Linked DNA regions of Oryzias latipes. The protein of the gene in region 1 interacts with the protein of each later gene in a pairwise test. Links are inferred from orthologs where the notes say so. Each region holds a gene or a part of one and is shown in the gene's direction. Other genes may lie near its edges.

What was found.
Region 2: the proteins of ankrd40 (region 1) and ahcy interact in binary tests that used the Homo sapiens proteins (3 or more experiments, as listed by UniProt). The two-hybrid records come from large-scale screens. The link is inferred for Oryzias latipes from reciprocal best matches to the Homo sapiens genes ANKRD40 and AHCY.

What each region holds. Positions count from the first base shown.
Region 1 is NC_019866.2:13,503,819-13,508,139, reverse strand, and holds the start of ankrd40 (ankyrin repeat domain-containing protein 40), read left to right. Parts: upstream 1-1,390; 5' UTR 1,391-1,823; coding exon 1,824-1,957; intron 1,958-2,556; coding exon 2,557-2,705; intron 2,706-4,321.
Region 2 is NC_019863.2:24,734,000-24,738,267, forward strand, and holds the start of ahcy (adenosylhomocysteinase), read left to right. Parts: upstream 1-1,266; 5' UTR 1,267-1,370; coding exon 1,371-1,398; intron 1,399-3,367; coding exon 3,368-3,558; intron 3,559-4,257; coding exon 4,258-4,268. UniProt on the Homo sapiens protein: Catalyzes the hydrolysis of S-adenosyl-L-homocysteine to form adenosine and homocysteine. Binds copper ions.

The sequences.
Region 1 (4,321 bases):
AAAAGTATGTTTTTATAATAAAGTTGTATGTCAGCAAAAATAGAATCGGTGATAAATTTGTGAATGTTTTTCCAAAATCTGTATGTAAATTCACAAGACCAGAATAAATGAGAGCAGGTTTCAGGTTGTTTCTGGCAGAAAGTACAACTGGTGTTTATGTCAGCCTTAAATTTAGTTAAATAATGCTTTGCTGGATAAAATCTGTGTAGGAGTTTAAAAGAGATTTCTTTGACTTTATTTGTTAAGAAGTATTTTTGTGGTAAAGACCAGACTTTTTTCCAATCAATGTTAGAAGTGAAATTAGCCTGGTAGTTCTTCTGATTTCCCCGTGTTTTTTTCCCCAGGCAAAAAAAATAATATATAATTTTTTTATAATTTAATTTTCTGCCCCCCACAAGGTATTTCAGGAAATTCTAGTCTCGAAAAGTTTGGCTTCTCCTGCAGTTTTTCTTTTGGTAAGAATTTAAAACGAGCCATTAAAGGGCAAACTGTGTGCTAATTAGGAGCTATAACTTTAGAATACTTTCAACTAGTAATGTCAAATCAAACGTTTAGCAATTCAGTGCAAACAGGTTTTTTCAGTTGTCGGGTGGAAAATAAATGTGTTTTTAGCTAGGTGTTGCATTTTTGTTTTATTTATTTTTAAATATATTTAATTTACTTTAACCATATACTTTTCTTTGGCTTCTGGTATTTAAAAAATATCATTATTAAAAGGGTTTACATTTTTGAGGGAATTGAAAATTTTGTAGAAACGCTAACCTGTTCGGCAGCAGTTTCCGGTTTGTTTTGCAAAAATTCTTAAAGTTATGTTTAACTATTTAGGCTTATTTAGAGCACGTTTCTCTCATTTTCTTGAACAATGATTTAAGTTTTATTTATTTTTTTAAATTTGCTTTATTTGGCTTCAGCTTAACTTTTTCATATTTACTTTTTCCATGAAATTATTTTAATCGTAATTATTTTGTAAACTATGATGTTTATTTTAATTATATACATGTATTATTTTCAGCTGTGAATATATGCATTCATAATATTATACTTACTTTGTTTTCAACCCCATTATTTAGTCAGCCAAGGGCTCTAATATTTCCATCCATCATTTAAAATTGAATTTTACATTTGTTGTTAAATACTAGTCAAATTATTATTTTATATTTTATCAAGAAACAATTCCCAAATAACGTGTAGAAACTATAATTATTTTTACGATACAATCATACACAAGCCGAGACTGACAGCAGTGTTGCACCTGTTACCATGCTTGGAAGTTCGCACTAAATTTATCATTTTATTCGTGACGCTGAGGGCAAAAACAAAGAATCTGACGTTAAGTTTGGTATTAATTAAAAAGTAAAACACGGAAGGTTATTGCGTGAAGTAACCGCTACCATGGGAACGAACATTTGTGCGCAGTTGTCACATCTTAACGTTCCCCCCCTAGTGAGACGGTGGCGTTTTACACCGGCAGACCTCTGACTGTCACCACAGTTTTAGGACTGAACGAGTGTTCAGGGTGACGACAGCGCTTCTGTGGCGTCAACCAGCAGCATACATAAATACAAAGGAGAAAAGTAGCTGTTTCCCCGTTAAATGGCGGCCACGACGAAGTTACGTTAGCTGAAGCTACAAGCTAACACCTCCTCAAGCTAGCCAGTAGGTAAGGTTAGCCGGGGTAGCTACAGTTAGCTGGAGAGTCTGTTCAGCCCGAGCTGTGTGCAATCACTTGTTAAATCGGTCGTGGATTGTGTTTTGACAATTGATGTAAATAGCACGGCGGTTTTGCACCATATGATCTAACATCGCTAGTGTTTTGTGGCAAAATGTCCACGACTTCGTTGGATAAAGAATTACAAGAGAGGCTGAGAGAAGCATCTGCTATCGGGGATCTGGACGAAGTGCGCTCGTTAGTGGAGAGTGGAGTAAACGTCAATTCCCAAAACGAAATCAATGGATGGTAAGTATTACGAAAATGTTTAATCTGACCAAAAATGAGTCCCCAGTGTTGTTTTACGATCAGCAATTATCACGTGTCCTTGATGTAACGAGGATTAAAAATGCTCACTGTTATCCTATTACACAAAGCAGAGCTTGTTAAACCGCCAACATTGCGACTTTTTCCTTTGCTTATCAAATTGTGTTTTCACTATCAGCTTCTGTCTGATTGTCCAGGACTCTAACTTCCAGAATTGTTGTCTTTATAATCAGTGTTCCTTAAGTCCCACTCCAGTTATATTTCAATCTTTTGTAAAAAAGTTCAGAGTGGTCTTTTAATTATGATTTATAGGCAAAATCCAAAAACCTGTTGTGCTCTAGGCCATAGTTTCTGCAGAGCGGAAATTAGAAAAAAATCACCTCTGCTGATATCCCATCATCCCTTTGTTTACACTTTCTCCCTTTAGCTTACAGCCCACACCTAACATTAGTGGTGCAACAAAAACGTCAAAAACACAATTAACACGATTTTCTTTGGAGTGGGTCTTTCAAGTGAAAATATGTTTATGCTATGGGCCACATCTCATGTCTAAATGCTTTTTCTTTCATTGTTTTCTTTAGGACATGCCTGCACTGGGCTTGCAAGAGGAACCATAAGCATGTAGTGACCTATTTACTAAGTTGTGGGGCAGACAAAGAAGTCCTCACGGCTAAAGATGAGCTGGCGTCTCAACTAACATCCAAACCAGAGATCAAGCGACTGTTAGGCGGTAAAGTTCTTCTAATTACTTTTTTTATTCCCCAGGATATGATATCCACTCTGTGACAGATGAGACGTCAGTTAAAAAATTGTATCTTATAGAATACATTTGTCTTTGGTTAATACACTCCAAAGTTGAGCTATAGGGTTTGTCTTTCTATAGTATTTTTCAGCAGTAAAATGATATCTACATGTATAAATGATATTTACATGTGGAAGGAAAAACTTCAGTTAGTTGCAAAAATATTTGCAAGTCCACAACATTTATGTACATATATATATTTAAAAAAAAAAGGTAAACCTGTAGAAATCTAATTTTTCCACTTGTAAAAATATTTTCCAGGTGCTCAGAAAAGTCTTAATCTTGTGTTTGGTTCACAAAATTCTTCACGCTCAAGTTACGTCCTCATACTTTTGACGCGAGTTTTGCAGATCAACCAGTCAGCACCTTTCTTTCCAATCGGTGTACCAGCTCTGCAAAAATGTTGTATTTCTTCATTCATACGTTTTTTTTCTTACAATTTTCATTATTAAAACCATAATTAAAAATAAAAGTCAATACTAGAAATGCGTTTTCATTTTCAAAATGAAGCTGCATTTGTTGACTCAAAATTATAAAATGAAAAAGCAATCCGCCAAACCGCTTTTTCATTTTCTTCTTCTACATCGCTTATTCTGTCACTTAAAACGCTGGGGCGATGGCTTCAGTGCTCGCTGTTCTACTGCGTTGTTGGTCCTACCAGCTAAAGTTCAGCATGGCAAAATCTGTGCTAGAGGGAGGCTGCAGCTGTCCTCAGACGGCAAAATTAGCGGGAAACAGCAGGAGATGATTTCTAAATGTTCTTTAACTATTGTTACGATTATTATTAAGGACCTGTTCGCTCATGCGGCCAGTGCTTTATTCTTGGCTACAAGGACCGGGAAGAAAGGTTAGCATTAGGCTAAGATGTGCCAACAACAACATTTAGCTGTGATGAACTTAAACTCCTTGCGGGCGATGCCGCGATGTGTCTCTTGGATGTAAATTTGTGGGAATAACATCAGCCTTTATTTTGTCTTGACAACACTGGAACCACAAATTCACATGATTGTTTACACGGTTTCTCAGGACTGCGCAGACTGACCGCGGTCCGAAGCCTCCTCCGGACTTGCTTGGTGTTTGCAGGCCGGGGAGGGGGCTTTGTTATGGTGTGCGCTCCGTCCAAACACGAAGCTAGTCCGGATGAAGCTTCGGACTGCAGCCAGACGGACTGCGGTCCGAGGCTTCCGGACCACAGAAGGCGGAAATGCTGCTACGCCGTCCGGAGAAACCGTGTAAACCATCAGGAGCGCACACCGTAACAAATTCCCCTTCCCTGCCTGCAACCACCAAACTAGTTTGTAGTTTTGTGTTAATTGGAGCAAAACTGTAAAAATTCCAGGTTTTGATTAACAAAATAAATCAACACAAAGGTTGATGTTCACAACTCAACCTACTGAGAATAAGGTGAGATTCAGTTAAATTTAGTCTGCAGTGTTGGAAAAATTATTATTGTTATAAATGCAATTTTGCAAGTGGCCAAAACTTTTTAAACATTTAAAATCGTTTTTTCATAGATGCTCAATAATTCGTTGCAGCCACAAAAC
Region 2 (4,268 bases), on another chromosome or scaffold:
GAGCTGGAGTAGGAAATGAATCTTTGCATACTGGATACAGGGGGAAAAAAAAGTGCATTTGGTCTCAAACTTTGTTTTACTTTTTTAGAATTAATACTGGGATAGCTGTCTTGAGGCAAATTAGCATGAAAAATTCAATATACGCTCAAGTGAAATGTTGCTGCTCCGAACTGATCATTCCACCAAAGATACCTGATAAATTGTTGAGTTTACAGGTTTTTCCAGCACAACAAGCTTAAACAGAATCTCACAGTGTGGACATAAAGGGGATAACAAATACTAGCTAAAAATGCACACACACACACACACACACACACACACACACACACACACACACACACACACACACACACACACACACACACACACACACACACACATATATATATATATATATATATATATATATATATATATATATATATATATATATATATATATATATATATATATATATATATATATATATATATATATATATGTGTGTGTGTGTGTGTATGCACACCCCTGTATAAAAACGTGTGCAAGATCTTGTGTTTATTAGTGATTTGGGGATATGAAAAGAAATAAAGACATTGAAAAAAAAAGCCCACAACTCCTTTTTCTGTATTTATATTTATTAATTTAACCAGAAAATTATTTGATTGTCAGTAAGTTCATAGTGAAACTGAGTTCTCCTTTGCTCTTAAAGCTACAGCAGACAAGTTACTCATTGAACCACTGATTAGATAGCTTACATCAGTTAGACAAGCCGATTGGGTTGCAGTTGTTGGCTAAAATATACTAAAGGAGGCTCTAATAATAAATATTCAAAAGTAGGTGATTAATAAACAAGTCTTTTTAGAGATTACAGAGTTTTACCGCTGGTAAATCTTACTGTCTATTTCAGTGTCACACAATGTTATGCTTTGCTATAAACTCTTGTTAGTAAATAGTCCTTAGTTTTTAAGACTTCACTGAGATGTGAGTCATTGTGAAACTTCAAATGTGTAACTGTTAAAATCAATACACGCAGATTTACAGAACAGGACGGTCTCCTGTCTACAAAATCCAGAAAAAACTTGCTCCAACCAAATAAAACGTTCCGTGTCCTTCCCTTCCCTGCCGCCATCACAAATCCACTTCTGTTTGGCTAGCTCCATTTATCGTTAGCCAATAACGTAATTCTGTCGTGGGGCGGGAGCTGCCGCAGCCAATTAAATGTCAGATAAAGAGCCGAATGGTGCCGCCCACTCGTCTGAACTCGCCTGCATGGAGCTTCCGCTATAAAAAGCGAGTCGTCATGTTGTCGTTCCTCCCTCTCTGCCTTCGTCCGTCGGCCAGGCCGCAGCTTATTTCAACCACCCCGGAACAAAACATCAAGAACAGCCATGTCCGAGAAACTTCCCTACAAAGTTGGTCAGTGGTGACCCTTTATTAATGTTTATTCTTATGTCTTTGACGTGCACATTTTTTAAGTGGGAAAAAAGAAACAAGCGAGCTGTGTTAGCAACATGGTCGTGCCAAATGGGAAACCGGCAAATGCTAGTAGTTCCACCCAGCGAAACGAGGCTATTGCTGTTCATGTTAATATCTTAAACGTTTACCCTCCGGTTGTGTTGTTCCCGAGACCATATTCCATATTATTAATAATTAGCACGCTGAATGATAACTATGTCGCTGAATGAAAGAGTCGTCGGTAAAGCTTGACCTAATGTTTCGCTTCTACTTTTACCTTGTTGGTCTTTACATTTATTATTCATACACTATTTGCAGACTTTTAATCAGTTATGAGAATGAATCGACATGGAAATTGCGCCATGTATGACCATTTTTGTGGAGCGAGAGTTGTCTATAATCACCCTGGATGATGTAGTTTTGGGTAAAGCTAGAGGCGTTACAAAAGTAGCATTCATTGTCTTTGTGGACTCAAATTCCCATGATGACTAGCGTTTCACCGCCAGTTTTACGTGAGTGACAAGAACAGGCAAGATATGCTGTTACCGCATGTCAGGAAAGCAGCACGTGGTCTTTTTTTGTAACACCAAGTCAGTAATAGTTTACATGTCTTTTAAATTGTATTATTACCTCGAACATAAAAAAAAAAAAAAAATAGGTAAACTTACGATGCATTTAAGTGACTTGTTTTAGGAAGTACCGGTAAGTAAAAGTAAAAAGACAAAAAAGGGTCTAAACAACCTATAATAAATTAGCTTGCCACATTCCACTTTATTTGTTCATTTTTATTTATTTATTTTTCACACATGCCCATTAAAAAAAATTAAAAATTAATAAATACTGAGAGGCTGGGGATGTTGCTGGTAGTTTGGTTTAGTACTAACATGTAACCATGTAACCAAATATGAGCAAAAATATGGTCAATTAATTTACAATCAGAAATAAAAACAAATCATTGTAAAATAACACAAATCAAAACACATTTTTACTATTTACATAGTAGATGAGACAGTTTTCAGGTAACCTTTAGTAAACTTTTTTTTTCTTGCATAACTTAAATTCAGTACTCTACTACAGCATTTCCCCCTTTTCTATGTCAAACCATCCTTACTGGAACCACTAACTTGATTAAAAAGAAACATGTTTCAAGGCTAAATGTATTTGTTTAATGGCTAATGCTTATAAATGTTATTACGTTGTGCAACAGTGATGGGTTATCATTTCCTGAGGTCATAAAAGTGACCGTGGAGGCAGGACAAGACTGGAAGACGTGCTTTTCAAACATAACGCAGGAGTGACCCTTCTGCAAAATGACTGACCCACCACTTGTATAGTAAATGAGTATTATGAAAAGTTTAGGATGTTAAAATCTAATGGATGCATAGGCTTTGTGAAACTTTGGGACAGAGTGTGGACTTTACCCCAGACTGAGCCGATGTGTTGGTGGGGAATTGAGCAACTTGTTCAGCTTCTCAGTCGATGCATTTGGATGGAATTACGACAGGTTTACTCCAAAGTCAATGACAAGGATCAAGAGTCTTTCCACTAGCAGAGATGAGTGCGGCAGCAAAATCTAGCAACCTGAGGGAATTTTTACATGGATCAAAGAAAAACAGTCATATAAAATGTCCTCAACATTGAAACTAAAGCTGAAGCAACACAGAAACATTGAATTTCATATGAAATTGTGTCATAATGTTATTTGTCCTTTCAGTGATTCCATTTTTATTTGATATTTCTAAGTTATTAAAGAATTGTGGGTTCAGACGGGCAGTAACATCTGTCTATTAAATATTTACTTTTGTGTACAAAATGGCTCTAAATCATTTTTTCCTGTGTTTTGAACTTCAGTCTGACATTTCTAATGCAGTTTAAGACACGAGTGGAACAGGTACTGATTTCTTTTTTGATGTCCCGGTTGCTGTTTTAGCCGACATCAGCCTGGCTGAATGGGGGCGAAAGGCCATCGACATCGCAGAGAATGAGATGCCCGGCCTTATGAAGATGAGGGAGCTGTACGGGCAGTCCAAGCCTCTGAAGGGCGCCAGAATCGCCGGCTGCCTTCACATGACCCTGCAGACCGCCGTGCTCATCGAGACCCTCACTGCCCTCGGAGCTGAGGTGACCTTTACTTGTTTGTAATCGTGGTTTCATCAATTAAGGAAGGAAGAAGCCGCAGTTATTTTTTTATTGTTTATTTTGGAAAACCATAGCCTAAACCCGGTCTTCCTGGATTACAGAGGAAAATCTCCCTCTGAGGTTGGCTCAGATTAGCAGCTTTGTGAGACTTGGACCGGAACGTTACAGTGCAGAGAACCATCAGAATGGCGCTGTTCTGAGCCGGGTCTTGTCATAGTCCCGTCACAGGTGTAAAGACCCCCCCCTTTCCCCCTGTTCGGTCAAGGCCGGTGTGTTCTGTTATCATGCTGGTTTAATCTGTCCAGCCAGGACTGGTCTCCTCCTGCAGGAGCCAGCAGAACAGAGGAAAGCTGCTTTCTGAAGCCGGTAATCTCCCAAACCTCCATTTTGGTTTTATCTCTGCAGCTGTGCTCAGCTTTCAGTGACTCAATTACATATGTTGCATCTAAACGGGCTCCTGAACTTCTAAATGTCCCAACCGTCCATGGTTAAAATGTTTTTGGTGCACACTAGCATAACTGCTGTGGTTAAAGCACAGAGGAAAACAAACTTGCTCGTGATTTTTCTGTTTTGGTGGAGTGAACAGTTTAAATAAAGTTTTACAAATTACTTTAAACGTTTTGTTATTAAAAGGTTTTCAGACATCTCCTCCTCGGCTGACCTGGATCTTCTCCTCCTCAGGTTCAGTGGTC